2 linked regions of the Arabidopsis thaliana genome follow. The protein of the gene in region 2 interacts with the protein of the main gene of each other region in a biochemical or structural test. Each region holds a gene or a part of one and is shown on either strand. Other genes may lie near its edges.

Evidence for each region. Proteins that work in one complex are often made in the same cells at the same time.
Region 1: the proteins of SOBER1 (region 2) and AT3G09980 form a complex in vitro, tested with the Arabidopsis thaliana proteins (one study listed by BioGRID).

The regions. Positions count from the first base shown.
Region 1 is NC_003074.8:3,066,101-3,072,031, reverse strand, and holds AT3G09980 (ankyrin repeat 30A-like protein (DUF662)), read right to left. Parts: upstream 2,943-5,931; 5' UTR 2,675-2,942; coding exon 2,405-2,674; intron 1,780-2,404; coding exon 1,669-1,779; intron 1,573-1,668; coding exon 1,492-1,572; intron 962-1,491; coding exon 887-961; 3' UTR 501-886; downstream 1-500.
Region 2 is NC_003075.7:11,785,791-11,792,171, forward strand, and holds SOBER1 (carboxylesterase), read right to left. Parts: upstream 3,523-6,381; 5' UTR 3,463-3,522; coding exon 3,180-3,462; intron 2,831-3,179; coding exon 2,778-2,830; intron 2,585-2,777; coding exon 2,461-2,584; intron 2,331-2,460; coding exon 2,209-2,330; intron 2,112-2,208; coding exon 2,004-2,111; intron 1,869-2,003; coding exon 1,770-1,868; 3' UTR 1,509-1,769; downstream 1-1,508. Other genes in the region: AT4G22305 (alpha/beta-Hydrolases superfamily protein), read right to left, coding at 3,756-3,887, 3,983-4,090, 4,168-4,289, 4,419-4,542, 4,771-4,823, 5,118-5,265; AT4G22310 (Uncharacterized protein family (UPF0041)), read left to right, coding at 5,653-5,707, 6,108-6,206. UniProt on the Arabidopsis thaliana protein: Carboxylesterase.

The DNA.
Region 1 (5,931 bases), on a different chromosome or scaffold from region 2:
AATGAAAATAAAGGCTGCACAAAACAATAAAGGAATTTTTTTTGTTTCTTTTACGATGATATCTATGTCTCCCATTGCAATAGCCACATCATCATTGATTATTTGATCATTAATGTCTTATTATTGCACCCTCCATCAAATAATGAACAAAACGTCTGGTTTATAATTATAGTATGGTTTATATAATTTTCTCATTAATCATATGATTTATATTTGATATTAATATCAGATAAATGGTTACATGTCAAAATGTTGAGGACATATTTAATGATAAACAAATAAAGGTTTGCCTTCTGGATATTATTTTTATGAATTTCCTTCCTCATGAAACAATCATTTTTCTCTAACGGTCATTTTGGAATAAAACCAAATTCGGAAAAGGTCGACATATAGATCACATCTGATCTCGTGATGCCATCTTTTTTAACTTAACCTACCGATCGATCGCACAAGTTACACAATGTTCTATTAATCTTTATAGCTTTCCCAGCGCACATGATATAAACAAATTTCCACTTTTCTTAATACCTAACATTTTGTACATTATGCTACAAATGTCAGAACAATAGTTTTAAAGAGAGATAAGTAAAAAATCAATTGAAAGGACAATAAAGAGAGAAAGATAGTTCAGAGAAAAGAAGAAGAAGCGTTTAGTTACAAACCTGTCTTGATGAGTATTTTTTGAAGTTACTTCCTAAAAAAACCACATTACACTTATAAATTCTCCAAGAACCCCTAACAAAGATAATAATTGTAGTAGTAATATAACACACGACGATTATAAAATATAAATTACATTCACCACCACCAAACCTAAACGTAGAGTTAAAACACTCAGAGAATGATCTCTGGCCCAAGAAGTTCTTGTACTGTCTTGGATTCAAAGTCAGTGTATAGAATCTATGTTCTTGCTTAGCTCTTCCAGCTTCTTCATTCTCATCTTTTCGCTTTCTCCCACCAACTGCGAATCATTCGAATCGGAAACCGTTAAGTCAAGAACGCAATTCAAGTTAAGAACACATAACAAAATGAATATATTCGACACAGATCAGAGTGGACTGGTTTGATGAATATGTTCAGTTTACAGACAAATTATGTTAGAAAATGGCAAGAACGATCGATGTAACTCATACAAAAAGAAGACACTTAGATAGAGTTTGAAGGAACTGATTCCGCTAACTATGGAGATGACTCACACATAGCTTTAAGCAAACACACAGACCGGTCCAAGAACTCAACATCAAAATCTACTAAACACTGAATCCGCAAGATCACAAATATGCCTAAAACTATCGGTGTTTGATGCATGTCTCTCAGAACAGAGCTACAAGACAATAATTAGCTTAATGTGTTTATCCACACAAGCAAGGGTAATGTGAAAAAATAAAGGACAACACAACCAAAAATCAGAGAGAAGCAGTACAATAACTAGACCAGTTAACTCAATCATTCAAACTCAACGAAAAGAGACTTGAGCATTTGTTGACTAACCTCCATTAGCCTGGTGATTAGCTGCACCTTCTCCCTGTTCTTTTCGTTGAATGCTTCAAGAGCTTCTTTGTACTCTCGTTCCTGCAAGTTGCGTAAATAAACCAGCTTAGCATCTGAATCCTCAACAAAACATATTTTAAACACAGGTCAATGGATTTGATTATGTTTTAGCCTTACCTTTTTCTGAACTGTATGGCCCAATGGCTTTAATTCTTTGTTGACAGAATCAATCTTCTTCCTAACCATAGCAACTTCTTTCCTCATGGGATCAGCTAATCCTTCAAGTTCCTGAAATGCAGTTTAACCACTGAGCTTCTTAGTCATCAACATAACATCACCCAGGAAAAGCAAATTGTTCTTTTCATAGAAAGGAAAGAGCTTTGATCCACAGAGCTAATCTCTATCAAGTAGTGCTATAAATGTAGAAACTTTCACTGTTCTGCCCATAAATTGAGGGGAAAAAGTACTAAAACCAGAGACTAAGACCAGATTCATAAACTTTAACATCACCCAGAAGAAGCAAATGGTTCTTTTCACAAAAAACTTAATCCAAATAGCTTATTTTTAGCAAATCCAGGTTTACTTGCTATTGATCATTTAAAATCCTAAAACAAACACAAAAGCCCCAAAATTTTCTCCCCAAATGGCATAAACCACACAAAAACCAAAGGAAAATTATAAAAGAATTTGTTCAATGCAATTGTCAGATCTTGAAATTTCCAACAGTTGGGTCCTACAATTTCCCCTTAAACATGAATTAAATCCACATTCTATACAATATAAAAACCCCAAATGTTCAATTTCACATCCCAATCCAAAAAATTTCCATAACAAAAACCAAAATTGAAGCACAATTCTCCAAAAAAAAAACAATCTTTTTTTTATATATGAAATAACCAATATAGATACATACCTCACGGATCAAAGCAAGACGCTTAGTCTCTTCTTCGACACGACCAAGCTGAGCTTGAACCCTTTCCCTAATCTCCATCTTCTTCTTCTCGATCTCTTCTTCTTTCGCTCTAAACGCAGATAACGCAGTTCTAGACATCTCCTCATCTTCCTTCGACATTTGGCTGCTGAAACTCATACTTCCCGACAACTGAGCTCCCAATTGTCGGCTATGCACCGCCGGAGCCACCGTCGTCGGCTGCGACGTCTCTATTGCCTGCATCTCCTTCATCTTCACTGAAATCTCCTCTCTTTGACTCTCTCGTTACTGATCTCTCTCTCTCTCTCTCTCTCTCTCTCTGGGTCTAGATTCTTCTGTGGTAGAGAAAATAGCTAACTGAGCTTTCTTTTTGAAACCCAGAAATAGTGCTCTGATATGAACATTTATATAAAGATAATTACACATTTTCCAGAAACAAAAATATATTAAATGCTATTTTATTCGTATAACGGGAACTTTTTAATAATAATTAAAATATATTGAAACGTATATTAAAAAGAGATAACAGGCAAAAAAAAAAAGGTTATTAGGTGAAATTACCTAACTGCCACCAACAACCGATAAAAAGATACAGTGAGGGTTTTAAAGAAAAAATCAAAAATAAAAAGTAGGAATAAAGGGAAGAGAATCTGATTATTGTAACCGTTGGATCTTTTTATTATCTGATGAAGGAAGCAAAACGGGTGACCCGTAGAATCCGGTGACAGCTCGTTAACAACTCAGCTGTCCCGTCTAAACCGTCAATTCCGAACCAAACTTAACCGGTAATTTAATTCTGGTTTTCCATTGGTCCATTAACATTTACCAATCGTCGTGATTTTTTTTTCTCTCTCTTTAATGACTTGAATTAGGTATTCCATTGCTGAGCATACACACTATTGAGTTATTTTTCATTTATTAGAACCACATTACATAATTGTTGACAAAGAAAGAAACTATGGTCCACGGTTATATAACTTATATTGAAGAAAATTGAGAAAATGAGAATAATAAAATGATCTTCTAATAATAAATATACTATGAGAATATATATCCCAATATTCTTTACTAGTATAAATTTTAAAGTATTATACTAATTGTGATCCAACAGAAAAATAATAATAAGAGAGGTAAATCTTATAGGTTTTTCGACGTGTATCCGATAAAAGTGGTCAAACTTAATTTACTTTGGTAAATTTAGAGGTACTCAAGTAAGCGTTTTGCTAATGAATTTGTTATTCTCTTTCGATAAAAGAAAGTTATCAATAGAAAAAAGAGAGAGGAGAAACGTAAAAACGAAGGTAAAGAGCAGTAGCCCACTCAGCCAACGGCTTCAACTACGGGCCTTCGAAGCAAGAATATTTCTTTTTTTTCTTCACTTTTTTTTTTTCCTTTTCTCTCTTAATGGAATTTACTTTTATTTCAATGTAGTATACTATAAATTATTCCTCTAAGCTAGCCATCATATCAACTCGATGTATAACTAGTCACATTGTTTTAATGGTGGGGTATAAATCTTGTCCTCATTAGCCATTTTGAAATTTTGTTTGTCCCACAAATTAGTATATACAAAACTATACTTACTTAGTAGATCTTTTTTCAATTAATGGATGAGCTTTGGCAAGCTAAGGTTTTGTTGTTTTAATTAGCTAGGGTTAGAAAGATAGATTACCTACTAATCGACATAAAACCAATATATTGTTTTACAAGTCTCTAATGTCTTGTATGTAGTCTAATAATCAAAAACAGATTTCAAGTGTGAGTTAGTATTATACGGTTTGGTTGATTGAGCTCGACCTGAATTTTTTTTATTTGTGATCAAACTGAGCTAAGGTCCGTTAACTTCCTTAAGGAATAAACTTGTTCGAAGCAAAGCCAAATCGTAGAGATTAGAATGTACGGTGGGGATTGAGCCGATCAAAGACATAGAAAGAGGGTGATCCTTCCTTACTCGACGTGTGCTTCTCTGCCACAAAGGACCCACTAAACCGGTGTTTGTGTTATCGCGTGCACCAGATTATCATTTGGAGCCCATACTTTTTCTTTAATTATTCTTTTATGGATCCCAACTTGTCCTTGTTTTCTAAGTAAATTATATTAAAATTATGTAACATTCTGAATATCTACAACGGAATAAGTGTAACTGATGATGTGTTTATCTAACAACTTAAACCAGATTTTTTGTAAGTTAAATGATCGCAAAATGGTTAGTTTTTAATGTTCAAATAAGAAACAAAACTTAAATCGAATAGTGTGTTGAAAGCGTTTGCCACCAATCGAATACGTCTTCCATGCTTCACCGTTTAAACTTTACTTTCTATTAAGAAATTTTGCACAAAATTTTATTGATTCTCTTAATAATATAACTCTTAATTGTGATGATTATGAACGTGATTGAGGAAGAGGATATCGACTTTATACCTAATTGCCAGCATCAGCACTTACTTAGGATTTAATGGTCTCATGAAAAATGATTTGCTGTCTCTCATCAAACCTCATATTTTCCATTAAATCAATGATATGTCGTATGTATGTCTCCCTCTCCAATGTCCATGCCAGATAATTTTATTACGAATATATTATAGTTAATGGTAATTATTACGGAATCTTTGTACTTTATGACGCAAAAAATTTCAGAAATAAAAAGTTGAAAACGTTTCCCATTGTTCTGCGATCATTCGAACCTTAAATGTATACACTCCCTATTAAACAAGAGTCTGCCCAAGCAATATTATTATTTTTGACTAAAAGGACCCATCAATTTATTACCATAACATTTATGTACTTAGAATATTGTAAGGAATCAAATGTATATACATACAGCGACAACAATGGTTTCGTAGGGGCCAGAATCTTTGGGGATGTCAGTTGGATTAGCGTAACTGCCAAAATGCAAAGATACTTCCCATTCTTTCAATCTTTCTTCTTCGTCCATATGAGACATATCATTTCTTTGTTTATGTTTCTTCGTTAATTACGATGATGGTAATTAATCATAGAGATGATCAGATGAATATTTCCAATATATAATACTATGTTTAAAAATAACCTTTATATGTTGGTCAACAACTCTATATCATGGATCTACTATACTGCGCATATTTTTTGGTGCCGAAAAATAATGATTTAACTCTTTGGATTAACTTCCGGGAACTGGTGCACTTAGCCACTTACCATTTTTTTTTTTGTCGAAGTTGAGTATTTCTAGGATTGGAATTTCGACTGTTGACATTAAACTATTTATCATATACATTGAGTTACTACATAAACCTTTTTACCGAAAATTAAAATCCACTCCTAAGAATCAATGTACACTTGATTACTTGAATGACCCAAATGAACGAAACTTTCTATTAATGTCAAAAAGATGATCTGTTTTGACATAAACAAATAATTGCCAGAGAAAGAAGTGATCTAGTCTAGATTGCTGTCTGGAAATTCTTTGGTGTTGTATTGTACCAACAGAACTCTGTACATAATATTGTCGAAACTCGTAATTATGGAAATCT
Region 2 (6,381 bases):
TCAGAAGAGAGAGAAGTCGCGCGTGTAGGTGTGAGTGGCAGTGAAGGTGGAGAGAAGAAGAAAGACGAAGGATGTGAAATGACGAAAGAGATCACTCTGGACTACGTTATTACGAGTGTGCCACTGTGTCCTAAAAACAGGCGATTGCGTAATCTTTGAAGTAGCCAAGTTAGTTAGAGGTTTTGGTCTTTGATTGGTTCATTTGTAACAGTAATCGCCTACTTGGCGCTTTTTTATTTTACAGTTTTTTCCTGTTTGTTTCAAGAATTTGCTAAATTACCCTTATACTTTTGTTTTGTTTTAATTTTCGATTTGAAACTAATTTACTTCAAATTTATTCTGAAAATTTTATACAGTAGTATGAATAAAAACTATGTATTATATAACACAACTGAAAACTGTTCATGCACAGACTGCAATCCAAATATAATGATTTCAATTTGACCAATGCAAGAAGAAAAAAACCATCACATGTGATATTTTAAGAATTACTATTTTGGACTATGGTCTTTGTATATATTTCAAAAAAGAGTATCAATATCCAATATCTTTGCCTCGATAATTGTCACGAGAAAGTTAAACTTTGACCCTTGTTACAATACAACCTTGGACTTCAAATTGAAAGATCGAAATTTTTGTTAGTATTTGGTTTGTTTCAAAAGAAGATGATTAGAGTTTTGTTGTTGGAGTCACAAGAATTGATAGATTCGATTGATATTAACAAAGTAATAGACTTCTCTTTGGTAGGACCATCACCAACGGCCCAATGCCAGCATTTCAATAATCATAACAAGTTCATGCACGTATAATTGTTATTTATCTTTCCCTTGTTACTATATTGTCTAAAATTGCAAATTTTAATTTACATTACACGTGATCTATATAATCAAATTCCTAATGATTGCACTAATTGAAAGCACTATAAAAATATACAGTACAGTACAAATATTAGCGGGCTAGATCAAATCAAATTTGAATATTTCTTTGGACTCAGATTCTTTATTTCTAGCTGTCACTATAGTGTCAAGATTCTGTAATATTTGAGATGGTGAAAGGGTAATTCTTGAAAATCACTTATAGTCGGTGGGTGCTTGGGGAGAGAATCCAAAGAGATAATATGGGCGCAAATGGGAAATTATGTGTTTTGACGAAAATAACCCTGTACTATCAACAGACCATGCAAACTCATTTGGATTTTTTTGGTCGGATCTAATAATATTTAACTATTTATATGGTTTCAAACTTAGATGTCGACCATATATATGCTAAAACTTCATTATTCAGAATCTCAGATCGTTGTTTGTATATGGTGACTTATTATGATATGATTCTTTGTCTTCTTTTCTACGATAAATAATTGAATTTTTATAGTTACGGAAACACCATTTCACAAAAATTTGTAAACAATTGTCATTGGTAACTATTTACCCGACAAAAACTGTAAATTTGAGTGAACATATGCAGGTTTTGTTTTGGTCAGATTTTGCATTTTGAACACAATTCGAGTTATGTAGTCACTTGATTTGTTGACTAAATAAAAGAATTCTAGTGTTGACATATAATTTTTCAAATCAATGCAAAGTACGCAAAATGTTGTAGTTAACAAAAGTAACGGTTTACATAACCAAACAAGATTGGTTCAACCAGAACCGGTTTTCATGATAGAGAAACTTGGACCAGAGATGAGCTGATGTTATCATTTTTCTTCTAATCTTGATAGGTACTAGGATGTTGTTACCTTGAGTACAAAGTTGCCTTTAAAAACCATTTTATGAAGAAGAAGAAGAGCTCTGCATCCGTTGTTTTAACCATGACTCCAGATACTGCAGCTCCTCATTACTGATTGAGTGTCCAAGACCCGGATAAGCCTGCAGATAAACGAACTCTCTTTAGATATACATTTCCAAGAATCGGTTTCTAAGATCTTTCCATGTGATCAGTATTGACTGCTCTGTTATATGAGCAAATATATGAGTGTTTGATTTGAGTTCTTATTGTTATACCTTGAATTCACAAGTCACACCCGCTTGTTGAAGAAAAGGAAGAGCTGCTTGACCAGCTTCGAATAGTACAGTCTTGTCATCAATGCCATGAGACCACAAGATTGGTGTCTGCATATGCAAAATTTAGAGACTCAGATACCCAAAAAACAGTGACAGGAAAATCAACATTTACCCTTTACAAGAAACCGAAAAACGAATGAACAACCTTTTTAGCATCTTCGGTAAACTGATTGGTGATCGAAGAATTGAATGGAATCCATCCGCTAAAGACTGCACCTCCTCCAATAGTTTTAGGGTAAAGAAGAACACTCGCCAAGGTTAATGCACCTGCAGAAAATCTTATTCAGGAGTCGCAATACAAATAAATCAACACATTGTAGCTTTGCAGTTTAAAGAAAAATTGGAAGGTGTAAATCCATGAAAATGGGTAACTATGGAGGGTGCTAAGAGAAATCACCTCCTTGGCTAAATCCACAGATATACACATTTTCTGGATTGATTCCTCCTGCAATCTCCTTATCTATAATGGCATGAACGTTCTTAACTGCTTTAAGCAAACTGCTTTCATCTTTCGGAGATCCCTAACACATAAAAACTTACTTACTTGATGACTTAAAATATCTCTAGAACAGAACAAACTCCTTAATAAGCTAAAGCAGCCTGTTCTTTGTACATTATAAACCTTAAAATCTACTAAACAAGTACTGATGACCCCAAACTATATTAGAAAATCTGAAGCTACAAATTTAGAAAGTATTGAACAAGAAGTGTTACCGCAGTAAGAGGAAGCTCAGGGATGTCAAACCAAGAAGGCATCACTGCACCATCTGCACAAGACAAATTAAGAGGCAAAGGCACAATATTTAGCAAGTACATAAGATTTCTCATGAAAAAGTATGAATCTTTACTCAATTTTGTCCACTGCATTTACCAATGAGGGAGGATTTAGATGACTAAGCCATAATTTGATAAATGAATCACACATCAAAGCACTAAATCCAAAAGAAAGACACACTAGTATCATTCCTATAGTAAGGACTAGACCTAAAAGTTCGAATTATTTAGGAGAATGCAAATTTGTTCAGCTCAATCAATTCAAAAACGATGATCAAAGTCAACGCCTAGAGAAGAAAGAAACGAACAACACCAAAATCAGAAAGTAAAGGGCAATCATACAATTGCAAGAGACTGGATTTGGTGGAGCAGAAGGGAAGAGCCACTTAGTGTTTCTAAACTCCTGGGACCTGAAAAGTGTTTTGATGGGTTCGTTGGCAGGTCCGGAATCACCTAGCCCGTGAAGCCATAAGATGAAGGTTCGAGCCATGGAGTCTCGGTTCCGTAAAGCAGAGGTAGATGATACGTCAGATTTGTTTAGGAAGAAGAATGCGAAGAAGAAGACAGAGCTCAATAGTGCGATAGTGAGAAGAACAATCGGCTTCTTCAGTCTACTTGTTCGCATGCCTTCACCATTTTCTCTCGAGATCGATCTCTCAAAAAATGTTTTGTTTTGGAGAATGTCTAAATGACTAAAATGCCCTCAATGTTAAAAGATTATCAAATTTGTTGGCTATGTTTTATGTTCTCATGTTCACACTCAAGATTGCAAATGTATTCCAATGCTTGCATATACATAATTCAAATCGATACAATCATACTAGAAGGACACAGCAAACAAAACCATACGAGGAGCTTAGAATTGTCAATCTTCTTCTTCTTGTCTTCATAGACGACATGTAGGTATTATTATTACCTTCAGTGGAACATTTCTTTAAGACAATTAAGTTGGAGACAAGTAGACGACGAACCTTTCAACCGTCTCTTGATCCATGACTCTATATACTTCAGCTCCTTATTGCTGATCGAGTGCCCGAGACCAGGATATGCCTGCAGATAAACAAATCACCTTAGAAGTATAAATAATTGTACATTGGAGTTCTATCATGCATTTGTCTCGAAAAAGAGTTTTGATTTGAATATACCTTGAATTCACAGGTAACACCGGCTTCTTTGAGAAAAGGAAGAGCAGCTTGACCAGCTTCAAAGAGTACCATTCTGTCATCAGTGCCATGAGACCACAAGATTGGTGTCTGCATATTGCAAAGTCTGAAGACTCAGAAACACAAAAACATTGATCAACGTTTATAAGAAAACATAAGTGAGGAACCTTCTTAGCCTCTTCGGGAAACTGACTGATGATTGAAGAAGTGAATGGAACCCATCCACTTAGGACGGCACCTCCTCCAAGAGTTTTTGGGTAAAGCAGAACACTAGCCAAGGTTAATGCTCCTACAAGAAAATTCTTATTAGGCGCCACAATGCAAGGTTCTTAAGACATAAGTGGATTCAGACCGATATAAAAAGGTCTCTCTACAAAGAATATTGAAAAGACAAAGAATTCATGAAAAGAGAAACAACCTCCTTGGCTTAATCCACAGATAAACACGTTTTCTGGATTAGTTCCTTCTGCAATCTCCTGGTCTATAATGGCATGAACATTCTTAACTGCTTCAAGCACGCTGCTTTCATCAATTGGAGAGCCCTAACATACATAAAAGTTGCACACTTATTGTGATTTCATAAAATCTCTTGAAAATGCAAGAGTGCTCTGCTCTTTACACAATCTGCTGAACAAGTGTTGATTCTAGATAATGCGTCATAAGGTTTAACAAACCAAAAGGTGCTAACTTGGAGCTACCAGCCCATTAACTATTTGCCAATTCATACTATAAGAGGCGTTAGATAGATCAAGAGTGAAGTGAAGTAATACCACTTTAAAAGGAAGTTCAGGAACGTCAAACCAAGAACGCATCACCGCACCATCTGCACAAGAAAGTATAGAAAGACATAAGCTTTTTTCAGACACATATGGATTAAGAGACATGACACCAACAGATACCACAGAGAAATCAAAGATAATCAAATTGTGTACATTTGACTAAATGTCTTTCAAATTAACAGAATGTGACAAATCTCCTTCACATCACAGAGGCAAATAATAACGCTAAATCAAAATGGCATGAAGTGGAGACCGAACCCTGTAGCCCAAATCAAACCATAAACCATGAACAACGAAATCAATGAATGCAAATCGAAAATAGAAAAGGAAGAACGTACTGTTGCAGGTAACCGGATTGAATGGAGCAGAAGGGAAGAGCCAACTAGCGTTACTTAACTCCGAGGATTTGAATTGAGTTTGGATGGGTTCATTAGCAGGTCCAGAATCTCCCAACCCGTGAAGCCACAAGATGAAAGTTCGAGCCATCGTGCTTGAGTTCCGTGAAGAAGAAGAAAGAAAGATAAAGAAGATGAAAAGTGCTCACTATCGATAGGCTTCGTCTGTGTATTCCTTCGCATGTTAAAATCGCCTGAAACTTTGCCATTTCAATGGCGATTTTGTCTCTCAAAGTCTTCGCGACGACTTTCAAAGTAGAAACTACAAAGTCCACTAGGACAAGAGTGAAAAGTACCAAAATACCCTCGGTTGTCGTTTTATGTCCGAAACGACATCGTACATAGCTGCAGCCCTTTTTTGTTAGTGTTTTAAGCCAGACAGGGAGAGAGAAGGGAGAAGAATCTCGCGAGAGACAGAAAGGGACGATTATTGGTTGGTGAAATTTAGAGCATTTTTGGGAATTGGGTAAACTTTTCGATGGCGACTTCGAAGCTTCAAGCTATTTGGAATCACCCTGCCGGACCTAAAACCAGTGAGTCAATTCCACGATGATTAGCTTTCCTCATCGATTTCGATGATTCATTTTTTTTTTGTTGGTTCATGTAAAATTGACGATTCAATTATGGATAATTGAGCAATCTACATCTCCTTGGAATCTGTTGTTAGTTTTGTCTTTTATAAGTTCCACTTTCTCGTCTTTTCGATTTTTCTGGTGAATCCTGATTTGTTTCTACTAAAAAAAAAACAAACACTTTTTGATGAATTTTGACTTTCGATTAGTTCTCGAGGATGGATTGATTTGTTGCTTATGGTCCAGGAGAATCACTCTTTGCTTTATAATGGGTTTCATAAGTGATAGATTCCGTTACCAATTCACGTCACTCGTGTCTCAGAACATCAAACAATAAGACTCTCATTTTGTGTTTTCTCAGTTCATTTCTGGGCACCAACGTTCAAGTGGGGTATTAGCATTGCCAACATTGCAGACTTTGCCAAACCTCCAGAGAAACTTTCCTATCCTCAACAAATCGGTATGTATTATTCTATCATCTTCTTAATCTGCAGAAGGTTACTCCTCTGTTTTGAATTGTGGACTTTTATAGGCTTATCATATTCCCCATAGTTGTCATTGTTCCTTGATCAGTTTCATTGTGTTGCACTGCCTTCAATGTACTTTCAAATATTCTCTGATATTTCTTGCATCAG